Linked DNA regions of Ovis aries. The protein of the gene in region 3 interacts with the protein of the main gene of each other region in a pairwise test. Links are inferred from orthologs where the notes say so. Each region holds a gene or a part of one and is shown on either strand. Other genes may lie near its edges.

What was found.
Region 1: the proteins of PPFIA1 (region 3) and PTPRS interact in a two-hybrid assay, tested with the Homo sapiens proteins (2 studies listed by BioGRID). The link is inferred for Ovis aries from reciprocal best matches to the Homo sapiens genes PPFIA1 and PTPRS.
Region 2: the proteins of PPFIA1 (region 3) and PTPRD interact in a two-hybrid assay, tested with the Homo sapiens proteins (2 studies listed by BioGRID). The link is inferred for Ovis aries from reciprocal best matches to the Homo sapiens genes PPFIA1 and PTPRD.

The regions. Positions count from the first base shown.
Region 1 is NC_056058.1:16,829,052-16,832,697, reverse strand, and holds part of PTPRS (receptor-type tyrosine-protein phosphatase S), read right to left. Parts: coding exon 3,538-3,646; intron 2,385-3,537; coding exon 1,803-2,384; intron 792-1,802; coding exon 658-791; intron 390-657; coding exon 245-389; intron 1-244. UniProt on the Homo sapiens protein: Cell surface receptor that binds to glycosaminoglycans, including chondroitin sulfate proteoglycans and heparan sulfate proteoglycan.
Region 2 is NC_056055.1:78,724,129-78,727,874, forward strand, and holds the start of PTPRD (receptor-type tyrosine-protein phosphatase delta), read right to left. Parts: upstream 2,299-3,746; 5' UTR 1,947-2,298; intron 1-1,946.
Region 3 is NC_056074.1:43,864,072-43,867,717, reverse strand, and holds part of PPFIA1 (liprin-alpha-1), read right to left. Parts: intron 2,250-3,646; coding exon 2,114-2,249; intron 1-2,113. UniProt on the Homo sapiens protein: May regulate the disassembly of focal adhesions. May localize receptor-like tyrosine phosphatases type 2A at specific sites on the plasma membrane, possibly regulating their interaction with the extracellular environment and their association with substrates.

The DNA.
Region 1 (3,646 bases), on a different chromosome or scaffold from region 3:
AACCAGCCATGGCTGTCTCCAGGGGAGATGGAGAAACTGGGGCCTGCGGGGTCCACGGGCGAGCCCCTCACTGCAGCGGCGGGGGAACTGGGGCTCAGCGAGGATTCTCGTGCGCCCGAGGTGGAGGAGAGAGGTGGGATGGGCCAAGGTGCCTCCCACCCTTGTGCAGGCCCCGCCCGGGTCAGTGCACAGGCGCCGGCCAGGTCCCCCCCGCAGGTCAGGGCGGGGTCCGAGAGACACCTACTGGACTGCAGCGTGCGCTGCCGCACCACCGAGGTGAAGGCGCCCAGGCCCTGCGGGGAGCGCGCCGCCAGGCGAAAGGCGTACTCCGTGTTGGGTTTCAGGTCATCCACCACGAAGGCCGTGGCCGGGTCGAAGGTCCTCGCGACCTGGGGGAGGGGCGAGGAGAGAGACCCGGATGGGGAGAGAGACAGACAGACAGACAGACAGACATCAGGGAGAGAGATAGACACAGACCCACAGAGTGATGGAGATGGAGAAGAGAGAGGTGGAAAATTTAGTAAGGGACGGGGCAAAGAGAAGGAGGAAGAGAGATATTCAGGCACCTAGTCCCAAGACAGGAGAGCTGCCCAGAGCGGGTGCCTGGGGAGGGGAGAGGGGGCGAGTGCCATCCCCTCCCCCACGCCACCCACGCACCTCTCTGCCGTGGTCGCCTTCCCGGTAGAGGAGCTCGTATTTGATGATGCTCTCCTGCCGCGGGGGGCTCCAGGAAAGCCCGATGCTCGTCTCTGACTTGGCCTCGGCCCGGAAGTTCATGGGCTGGCCGGGCACTGCGAGCGAGAGGCGAGAGGGCTGGTATCATCAAGGAGAGGCTGGGGAGGGGGTCCACCAGCATAGGGTCCCTAACCTTCGAGGTTCCCATTCTCCCCCAAAAGAGCTCCTTAAAGCTTATCACTGCCCTAACAAGAAGGGTTATGAGGTTCTGGATGCTCCCAGAATGTTCTCCACTGTTCTCATTTCTCTTCTTTTCCCGGGATAGCTCCCTGTGGCCTGTTGTTGTCAGCTGCCCGCCCCAACTCCCCCATCCTCTCTGCTGCCAATGGGAAAACATTTTAAAAATCCCGTTTTCAACGCTCCCCAGCATCCACCCTCTTCCCCTCAATTCAACAGAAAATTGGTGGGGCCGATAACTGAAAATATGGATCCACCCTGTGTCTGCTCTACGGCAGCAGAATTCCAAACCTCCTGTCCCTTTGCTTGATCAGTGGCCTGACTCTCCCTGGACTCGAGGTTCCCAAGCCCAGAAACCCATAGAGAGCTGGGGCCCACGCACCTACGTGCTGTACACCCCTACCCCCAGTCCTTCGCCCGCGCTGTGAGAGACCTGCCTTCAGCACTTTGGGTTAACATACTTTCTGTTATTTCAGTGATCCAGTGGGTAGGGATCACTCTAGCGAGAGTACTAAACGGAGGTTCTCAAACTCACAGATGGATGAGGGAGGGGCATAACAAAGGAGATGGAGGCCAGCGGAGGCCACGCCCCGTTTCTCAAACGCATCGCTACCAACTGTAGCCCTGTGTGTGGGCTTGCCAGATGGGCTTTTCCAAGGGTGGCCAGAAATCTGGGTTTTCTAGGACACCCTCCTGCATTGCGACGCTAGTGTGAAAATACTTGAAAAAGGCCAAATAAACTACGTGGTGGCTTCCAGGTAAGACGGCCTCCTCTGTGTGCTCAGAGGCACATCACTGCATGGCCGCCTCCTACTGCCTCGTGGGGCGTGGGTCCCAAATCCTTCTGTCCTCCCATCCCCCAGAAGTCGTGCATCACGTACGCAACTCACCTCCCTGCTGAGTCTTGACCTGGATGGGGTCCGAGAGGGGCCCGTCGCCCACGGAGGTGAAGGCCAGCACGCGCACCGTGTATGTTTCGTCCTCCAGAAGGCTGCCCACGGTGGTCAGCAGGCTGTCGTCCACGTTGTGCTTCTGCCAGTTGCCCACGGGGTGCTCGGGCTCCATGGTGTAATAGATCCGATAGCCCCGGATCAGGCCATTGGGTTCCACCGGCTCCTCCCACTGGATGATCATGGTGGTGGCACTGAGCATGCGCGCCTGCACGTTCCTCGGCGCGCTGGCGGGGGCCTGCTCGCCGGTGCGGGTGACCACCGACTCGCTGGGCGGACCCTGGCCGATAGAGTTGACGGCCGACACCCAGATCTCATACTCCGAGTTGGGGCTCAGACCACCAATGCTGTAACGCGTGGTGGTGATGTCCTCTTTGATCTGGTACGGCCCATCCTGACTCTTGGATTTATATTCGATGACATAGTAGGACACGGGGTCTGGGTTGCCTGAGTCCCACGTGATGGTGATGCTGGTGGCTGTGTTCTCTGTCACCACGGGAGTCCCAGGGGCTTTGGGGAGAGCTGTGGGTGGGAGGCAAGGTCACATGTCAGGCATACTGGCTGTGAACCCTCAAGGCTGTGTAACTTTTAGTCACTTGACTGCCCTCTCAGAGCCATAATTTCTTTGGTGGTAACACCTGTCTTAACGACCCCTAGCCTACCATCTGGAGAAGGCAGTGGCACCCTACTCCAGTACTCTTGCCTGGAAAATCCCATGGACAGAGGAGCCTGGTAGGCTGCAGTCCATGGGTTGGCACAGAGTCAGACACGACTGAGCGACTTCACTTTCACTTTTCACTTTCATGCATTGGAGAAGGAAATGGCACCCCACTCCAGTGTTCTTGCCTGGAGAATCCCAGGGACAGGGGAGCCTGGTGGGCTGCCGTCTGTGGGGTCGCACAGAGTTGGACATGACTGAAGTGACTTAGCAGCAGCAGCAGCAGCCTACCATCTATAGCAAGTATTGGCAAGGTATACGGCTTATGTATTGCTGGTGGCTGCTTCCGTGCTAAGAGTTACTAAGCTCTGTCACGGTAGCCCAAAAGCTGCCACCAGCCAGCTGTGAGCAAATGGGCAGGTGTCAATAAAACTTTATTTATAAAAACAAGTGGAGGGCCAGATTCAGTCCATGGACTGTAGTCTGCTGGCCCCTGTTCCAAAGCTAGAAAAAATATCTGGGGGCATCCTGCTCTGAGTTTCACCACAAACTTGAGACATCAAGAGAGTCAGTAATCCCTCCCTACTCCCCAGTGCTCCATCTCTCTGAGTTTTGCACAGGCTATTTCCTTTTCTTAGATATGTTCTCCATCTGTTTTGGCTCATTCCTGTTCAACTTTCAGTCTTCCTCTGACTTAGCTTTCCTGGGAATTGGCACCTTTATTCTGGGGGTCTGAGCGGTGCTCCATGGCCCCTGTCACTGCCCTAATCAGCATGCATCATATAACTGCCAGGCTACATGGTATCATCCACTTTGGACTGTGAGCTCAGTAGAACAAGATTGGGTCTCATTCCATGGGGCCCAGCCCACAATAATTTGTCATTAGTATGTTGACTGTCCTGTTCACAGCCAGGAGTGACTGAGGCCAGAAAAGTGACTCAGAAGCTTTTCCACCATTATGCCCCACCTACACCTGAGGTGCAGGGATGACTTGCCTCCCCCACGACCCCTGCTTACATTTCACTGTGATCTGGGCCACAGCCTCGATGACGCCCAGGCTGGACATGGCCACGCACGTGTAGTTGGCAGAGTCCTTCACGTCTGTGAGTTCCAGCACGTTCCGACC
Region 2 (3,746 bases), on a different chromosome or scaffold from region 3:
ACCCACTCAAATTTGGTTACCTCAGTACAAATTCACCTTTTATTTTCAATATTTATTTTTTCAAACATCAGATATTCTTTTAGATATGTGAGGTCACAGATGAGTAGAGGTCATTTGCTATAATCCAAATCTGATCAACCTGGGGCTTTATTTTAAATTATTTAAATTCACTTTAAACTAATGGTAGAAGTGGCAACTGAGAGCAGTAATATATATAAGAAAAAACATTTGGATAGAAAATAAAGTAATATATAAGAAATAATGATGTCTTTATCAAGTGATTTCCATGTATGGTAACTTCATGTCAACAAATTCATCAACTGTCCTACTGTTATTTCATTATCCTAAAAACTTATGTCTCAAGATATTCAGAGCTTTTGACATTGGATAATAACAGTTCTGAAAGATCTTTCCCTTTTTAAAATCAGTGATCATTAGTTCACTCTTCAATTTTTAAAATTCAGTGTCAAAAGAATATAGCTACTTTTATATAATAACGAGTAAATAAAAAAGTAAGTGTTTTTTTCATCAATTAAATATAAGAAAGCCCTTAGGTATTATTCGATAGTACGGTGTTTTCTTAGAAATAAAATCTGTGAGACAAGTGGTTTTAGTTTTCAGTCTGGTTTTTAACTCTTAAAATGATTAGAAAAGTGTATTTTATACCAACATGGAAAATTGAAAGTTAAAGAAAAAACAAACTTTTTCTAATCAGTATTCTATACTAGTCAGTATGAGCGTTATGTCAAAGAACTTTGAATTTGTTAATCAGCTTTGTTGTAACTAAACTGTAATTCTACTGTATCTACTGTATATGTAACAATGCAAGAAGAATTAGATTCAGGATCCATTTGGCAGTGATAAAGAAAAAAAAAAAGACTGCTGAAATGTTATTGATTCTCTCCCTCTTCTGCAAAACAAACTGACTCAACTATATTCGTCCTGATATAACACAAAGATTCTATTTAGATATCACAAAATATTGCCAAATGTATCTTTTTTTTTTTTAATTTTAAGATATCGTTAACCCTTTCACAGAGAAAGGAAGATTGTCCTACTTGTTTTTACAGAAATGCTGCAGCTACTGACATGGTGATGTTAACCCCAAGAGGAATACTGCCTGCAAAAGTTTTTGATGCAGAGATATTCAGCCCTAGGAGACACCTTAAACCTGTCACAGGCTGCTGAGCCCTGTCACAGTTTATAACCTGCTGTGTCAAAGTCACAGCCTCAGCTTCTGCCCTCTCCAAAACATTTTTCAGATTCCTTTTCCAAATTAATTCCATGCATTTTTTTCTAAACGAGGCTATTTCTCAGATTTTCCTCCATATCTCATTCATCTACAAGCATTAAAAAAAAAAAAAAAAAACAAAACTCAACAGGCTTTTATTCCAGTCTTTCAAACCACCTATATTAACTTTCCCTTGACCCATTTTTTTTTTTTTTAAACAAGCTCTCTTCAGAACTAAAGATAAAACAAGCAACCAAGAGAAGTCAGTGAAGGATGGGAGTTGGTGTGGATTAAGACTGAGGTTGAAGGTAGCAGTGGGGGGGGGGGGGTAGGGGGGGTGGTACCAGTAGGGTTAGAATTCTCAAGGTTTTTTTTTTTTTTTTTTTTCTCCCTAGGAACCCATCCTTAAATCTTAGAACCAACCAGCGTTTCAAACACCAAGCTTCCATAGCTCATGAACAATGAGCGTTTAAAAAACAGATCTCCAGTATGGTTGCCCACACTGAAGTCTGCTCAATGCAATGTTCTTAAAAAAAAAAAAAAAAAAAAGAATGCTTAGCAAACCACTTCTCAATTAAGAACTAGTGAAGTTATATAAGTCAACTTGTTCCCTGGTAAAACGAACAAACTGCCCGCCCATACCATCGGGGGAGAAGCATTCATTCAGCATATGCCTCACTTTAAGACAAGAAATACGGAAGCACAGTTTACTTACTAAAGCAGTCGCTCCAGTCTTCCTTGGAAACCCTGAGGAGTCTTCTCTTTTCTCTCCTTCCAGTCAAATAAAGAATTGTCTTTCTATTCCACACAGGCCCAGAATAAACTGCAAGAAAGGACAGCACATGCACAGCCGCCCGTCGGGCTCTGGCTTTGGTCTGCTGCCTCTGCTTCGGGGGTTCTGCTTGTTTCAAAAGTGGGATCTTCTTTTCGGGAGGGAGGGGGCGAGGGCAGGACAAAATCTGGGCGCTCCGCAAGCTCGCTGGGGTCCTGCAAATTATTCTGAAGGCAAAGTACCTGCACTCTCCCCGCGGAGGCTGCCTGTCAGCGGCGCGAGGAGGGAGGAGGCTGAGGAGGAGGAGCAGCAGGAGGGCTCGGGCTGGGAGGGAGCGCGGGGCGGGGGAGGCCGACGAGCGGCTGGCGGAGAAGCCGAGGGACCGTCCGCCGTCAGGGCGAGGCGCTGCCCCACGCGCTCGGGCTGCCGGCTGCGGGCGCGGCGGGGCGGGGAGCCGAGGCGGCGATCCTCTCCCGGTCGCTCCCGCGCTGGCCCGCTCGCTCGCGCTCCCTCCTGCTCCCGCTCGAACAGACAGGCACACACCCCACGTCTCTGGCGGCAGCCGCCCCGCCGCACGCACTCACCTGCATTTCCTTAACGAGCCACTTGATGGCTGCCAGCGGCGCGGGCCGGGCTCCGGCGGGCGGGCGAGCGGGAGCCTGGGCGGGGAGGACGCGGCGCGGGATGTTCCGAGGGCCCACCCGGGAGGCGGCGGCGGCGGCGGCGGTGCAGGCGCGCTGGCTGGGGCGGGATGCGGGGAGACGAGCCGCGCCCCCGAGCCGCCCCGACGCGGACCAGGTTGACCCTGCGTCCCCGAGACCTTGGCTGGATTCCAGGGCTCGGGGGGCGGGGGGCGGTCAAGCGGTCGGAGCGGGGAGAGGAGGCCATGTCAGGCACGGGCTATCCCCGACCGCTAAAGCCACAGAGGACTTGCCCAGGTGTGGATCCCGCCTGCGCTGCTTCAGGTGTTCGCGTGCTTTCGATTAATTTTACAGGTGTTTTGGGTTTTCTGATTTGGAGGGAAGCTGGTGGTAAGGGTTAGGGGGGTGGAGGGTTTAAAAATGCAAGGGGCAGAGTTTTAATTTACAGCACAGTGGATGCTTGGGAAGAATCCCCGTTAGTACGAGGTAGGGTAGGGGGGCGAGGCTGTGAGGCGCCCGGGGTGTTCTGTATATCAGACACAGGGTGCAGCTGTCAGTTGGGATGTGTGGCAGCCTGACTGACGGGACTGAAGGAGACATTGGGCTCTGCCGAAGTGGTAGTTGAGAAAGCAGGGGGTTGGGTTGTGTTGGGGCGGGGGAGACTGCAAAAGAGTTGCTGGGAAACAGTCTCATTGTTGAGAGGACACGGGCGGGCGTTGGGGGAGTCATTTCTTCCCCTCCTGCTCAGTACCCCACCGTAGAGCGGCCAGTGCCAGTAAAGTGGTGTACCACAGACTCGGGAGAGGAACTTAGATCCCCTGAGCGAAGCTAGAAGAGGAGACTGGAGCTGGGGAAGAGGATGGGTGGGCAGGCTGGAATAAATTTAGCAGAAAGCTTTTATCGTTCATGTCTGATCAGGGCACACAACTATGGCAACAGTTTTTTTTTTTTTTTTTAAATGCTGTCTTTCTTGCTAGAGAGCAATGTCACTACGTTGATGCTTAAAGAAAATAATAATTATCCTGTTTGTAATAGTGCAACAGAGAGCCATCCAGGTACCCTCTAGTTAAACGGGCTGTTAGCATTGTGGATACAAACAGAA
Region 3 (3,646 bases):
CTGAAGGAAGAGAAGAAAAAGACATCCTTCAGCTCCACAGCCGCTGGGTCCACCTCGGCAGTCATCGCTGCTACTAGCTCACTGGGGAGTGCTGTCCTCGCGGGTTCCCAGCCCTCCGTTTGCAGGCTGGTCTGAGCACCCACAGACAGGAGCGAGCACGGGCAGCCAGGGGACGGGAGGGCGAGCCCCCCGCACTCTCCTCCCGGGGCGCAGGCACTCGGGCTGTCCTGGGGGACAGCCTCTCGCATCGCAAGGCAGCTCTGTAATCAGGGACGCACAGAGAGTGCCCGCTGGGCCCCATGCCGCCCGCCCCCTCCCACAGCTCACACCCTTCTCTGCCTACAGGTTCACCCCCGTCAGCCCGGGCAGCACGTCCTCTCCCTCTTCCTGCTTAAAATCGCACCACGGGAACCAGCAGATTGCTCCTCCAGGGCTGCCTGCAGCGCCCACCGCGGGTCTCTGAGAGCTCCCCGGGAGCGGCCTCTACTGTCCCTCTCCCTGCCCAGTCTCTGCAAGCAGGCGGGGGGCCCACCCCACAGGGCAGCTCCCGGGGGCTCCAAGGACCCCGTGTTACCAAACCCCCTCCCCACCCGCCCAGCGTGTCTCTCCCTCAGCTCCAGGCCCCACCCTCCCTGGGGCTCGTCCTCAGTCCCTTGTGCCCTTCTCAACCTCGGAACGTGGGGTGGCCCCCGGCTCTACCCTTGCACCTCATCTCTCTCCACAGGCACCTGCCTGGCGACTTTATCTTGCTCATGCCTTTAAACACCATCTGCATGCCCGCAACCCCAGTCCACCTTGAGCTGAGTTGAGTCCTCTCCCGGATGCAGGCTGGAACACTCAGCTGCTGACCAGACTCGTCCCCTGGACAGGCCTGTCCACCTCCACAGGGCAGAGGCCCGGCTCTGAGCTCCTGCCTGGCAGCCCTCCTCACCGTAGCAAACAGGCTCTGGCCTCGAGCTGCTCAGGCCTGAGCCTGGGTCCTCCCTGATCCAGGCCGCTCTCTCCCTTGTCCCTGCCGGTTGACTCGACCCTTGATCTATCTCCGAGTGGCGGCTTCTCTTCCCGCCTCCAGGTCTCTGGTTCAAGGTCACCCTCCTGGTGTCACCTCGTTGGCCACCCCTGTTCACACACGATCGTCCCCTCCTCCTCGGACAACTCGGGCACTCTGGTCTCCTTTCCCTGCTCATTGCTGTCTGACAGGCTGTGCGGGTTTAAAAAGGGGTCCACAAATCCTTCCATCCTCCTCCCTTCAAGAGGCAGAAGGGGCAACTCCTGCTCAGCCCGAGCGAGGCAGGACTTCACAGCTCATGCTCGAAAACAGAAGTGAAGGTGTGCGGCTTCCGAACCAGGGCATGAAAGACCCCGGGCTACACCCTACGCTCTCACTCTCAGAGGGCGTTCCGAGGAAAGCCAGGCCACACAGAGATCTGCACAGCAGGGACCTGGGCCTGTCCCCAGCAGCCAGCTGAGTCTGAAAGCCTACCATCCAGCCCCGGGGAGCCTTCCCTAATCTGCGCCCTCAGGAGGCCCTGAGTCAGGCCCGCCTGGGAGAGGGACAGGAGCTGTGGGCTGTGGCCTGCTCACTGCGAGGTTACCGAGCTCTGCAGTGGTTCGTTACGCAGCAGTGGATAAAGAACACGCACGGTTTTTAAGTCACTGCTGGAGTCCTCGTTCCGACGACGTCTGGTCTAAACTAGCTTCCCGCTGAACGTGGGCGCTCAAAACACAGAGACATACGAAAAAACACACGCCATGAATGAGGCGAAAATACGAAGGCGCTTAACCTTCCAACGAGAATCTTCTCACTAAAACATGAGGCACGTGTGGATCCATTCACTCGTAGGACGGTTTCAAAACTGTGCTAATTAGTACTGTGCCGGGCCTCACAGGAAGCCACACGTTATCAAAATTGGTTCTTTAAAAAAAAAAAAAAAAAAAAAAACATGCCTTGTAAACTCTTAGCCAGAAAAAGGAAAATTCGAAGACGTAAAGCGATCTATCAACACTTGGTTCCAAAACCGTGTCAGGACCACAGTGTCGGGGGCGGGGGCCTCACAAGGTGCCCACCAGGGATAGGCACGGGGTGGCAGGGGTGGGGTGGGGGGGTCCTTGCCTTGGACGGCTCGTCGCGCAGCGCTGCCAGCCGGCCTTTCTGGGGGCGCCGCAGCACCGCCGCGCCGCTGAAGGAGTCTGCCGGCCCGTCGGCCACAGGGAACCTGAAGTCCGGGACGCTGCCCAGGTGCGGTCGGCTGGAACACACGGGAAAGAAGGATGCTGTTAGGAGAAAAGAGAGCTCACTCTGTCAGTCAAGCCAGAGCCTGTCGATCTGGAAAATTGGCAATTTCACAGAAAAGGGGCCGTGGGGCGGGCTCTGCCCTCCTGGCTCCAACAGCAGCAGGCCCACCTGCTGCCCTGCGAACACTCAGGTCTCAGCGCCACCAGCTGGGCAGCTCCCGTATGTAGGGAAGGCAGCGCTAAGGCGAGGGTGCGGCTGGCTGCCCGGTGCTCGGGGCTGCGGTCCCCCAGAGCCCACCCTCAGGTCCCGGGGCGGGGCTGCACCTGCTCTGCCAGCTCCTGGGCACCCACACCCCCTCTGGCCGGTGCCTGCTCTGCCCTCCACCTCCCGTGTGACGTCCATGGACCACAAACACCCGTCTCCCTGGAACACTGTCTGCACCGCTCTCAGCACTTCTGACGGCACCTCGACCGCCCACGGCACAAAGCCCTCGGACCCACAGCTCGGACCTGAGCCGCACGGTGTTTCCCAGGAGATGCAAGTCTGGAACCTCCCCGAGCCACACCTGTCTTCCCTCCCATCTCCCCTCCCTCCTGATGGAACCGCTCCTTTCTCTGCTCAACTTCCACCGCAGCACACTTGGGAGTCAGGTGGAAGCTACGACAGAGTCCTGCTTGGGACTGTGGACACTCGCGGGTCCTCTGAAGGCCACAGAGGCCTCTGGGTTGAGACGCCCCCCACCATCACCTCCCAGTCCCCTCCCAGAGTGCAGCCTCCATCGCTCTCCCCCTCCTCACCTGAGGCTCTTTCCTCCGGGAGAAGGTCTCAGAGACAAGGTGACCAATTCCACTGGGAGGTCCTGCCAAATACACTGAGCCCACCCTGCCTCTGATCCAGGCTTCAGTCCCCACTCCCCCGGCCTGGGCCAGCCTACCCTGCCCGGAAGCCAGCCCTGAGGCCCCACCTGTGCCGCCGAGTCACTGACCCCTGGAAAGCTGCCTCCTGGAGACACCCCTCCCTTGCCCAGCCGCTGCGGTCCCCGTCTTCAGAGCACAGCGGCCCCTACTACTCCCCGGCTGCCTCCTCTTCTCTCTCACTGACATGCAGGGGACTGGTGACCAGGCTTCTCCCTCTGAACCCCCAACTGCGCCAGGCCTTCGGGTCCCAGCACCAGCACCCTCCTCGTTGCCCAGTCTGCAGAGCAAGAGGCTGTGTCCACCTCCTCTTCCTCCACTGTCCAAACAGCCCTCCTCACACGCATCTCATCCACCCCGGGAGCAGGGGGTCTCCCCCTCTGACAACACCAGGCCCTCACCCTGGAGGAGCTCTGCGGGCAAGGCTGGCCATGTCCCCCATCCGTCCCAGAGGGCACGTGCTCCCCTTGAACTCCACCTGCCATGGTTTCAGACA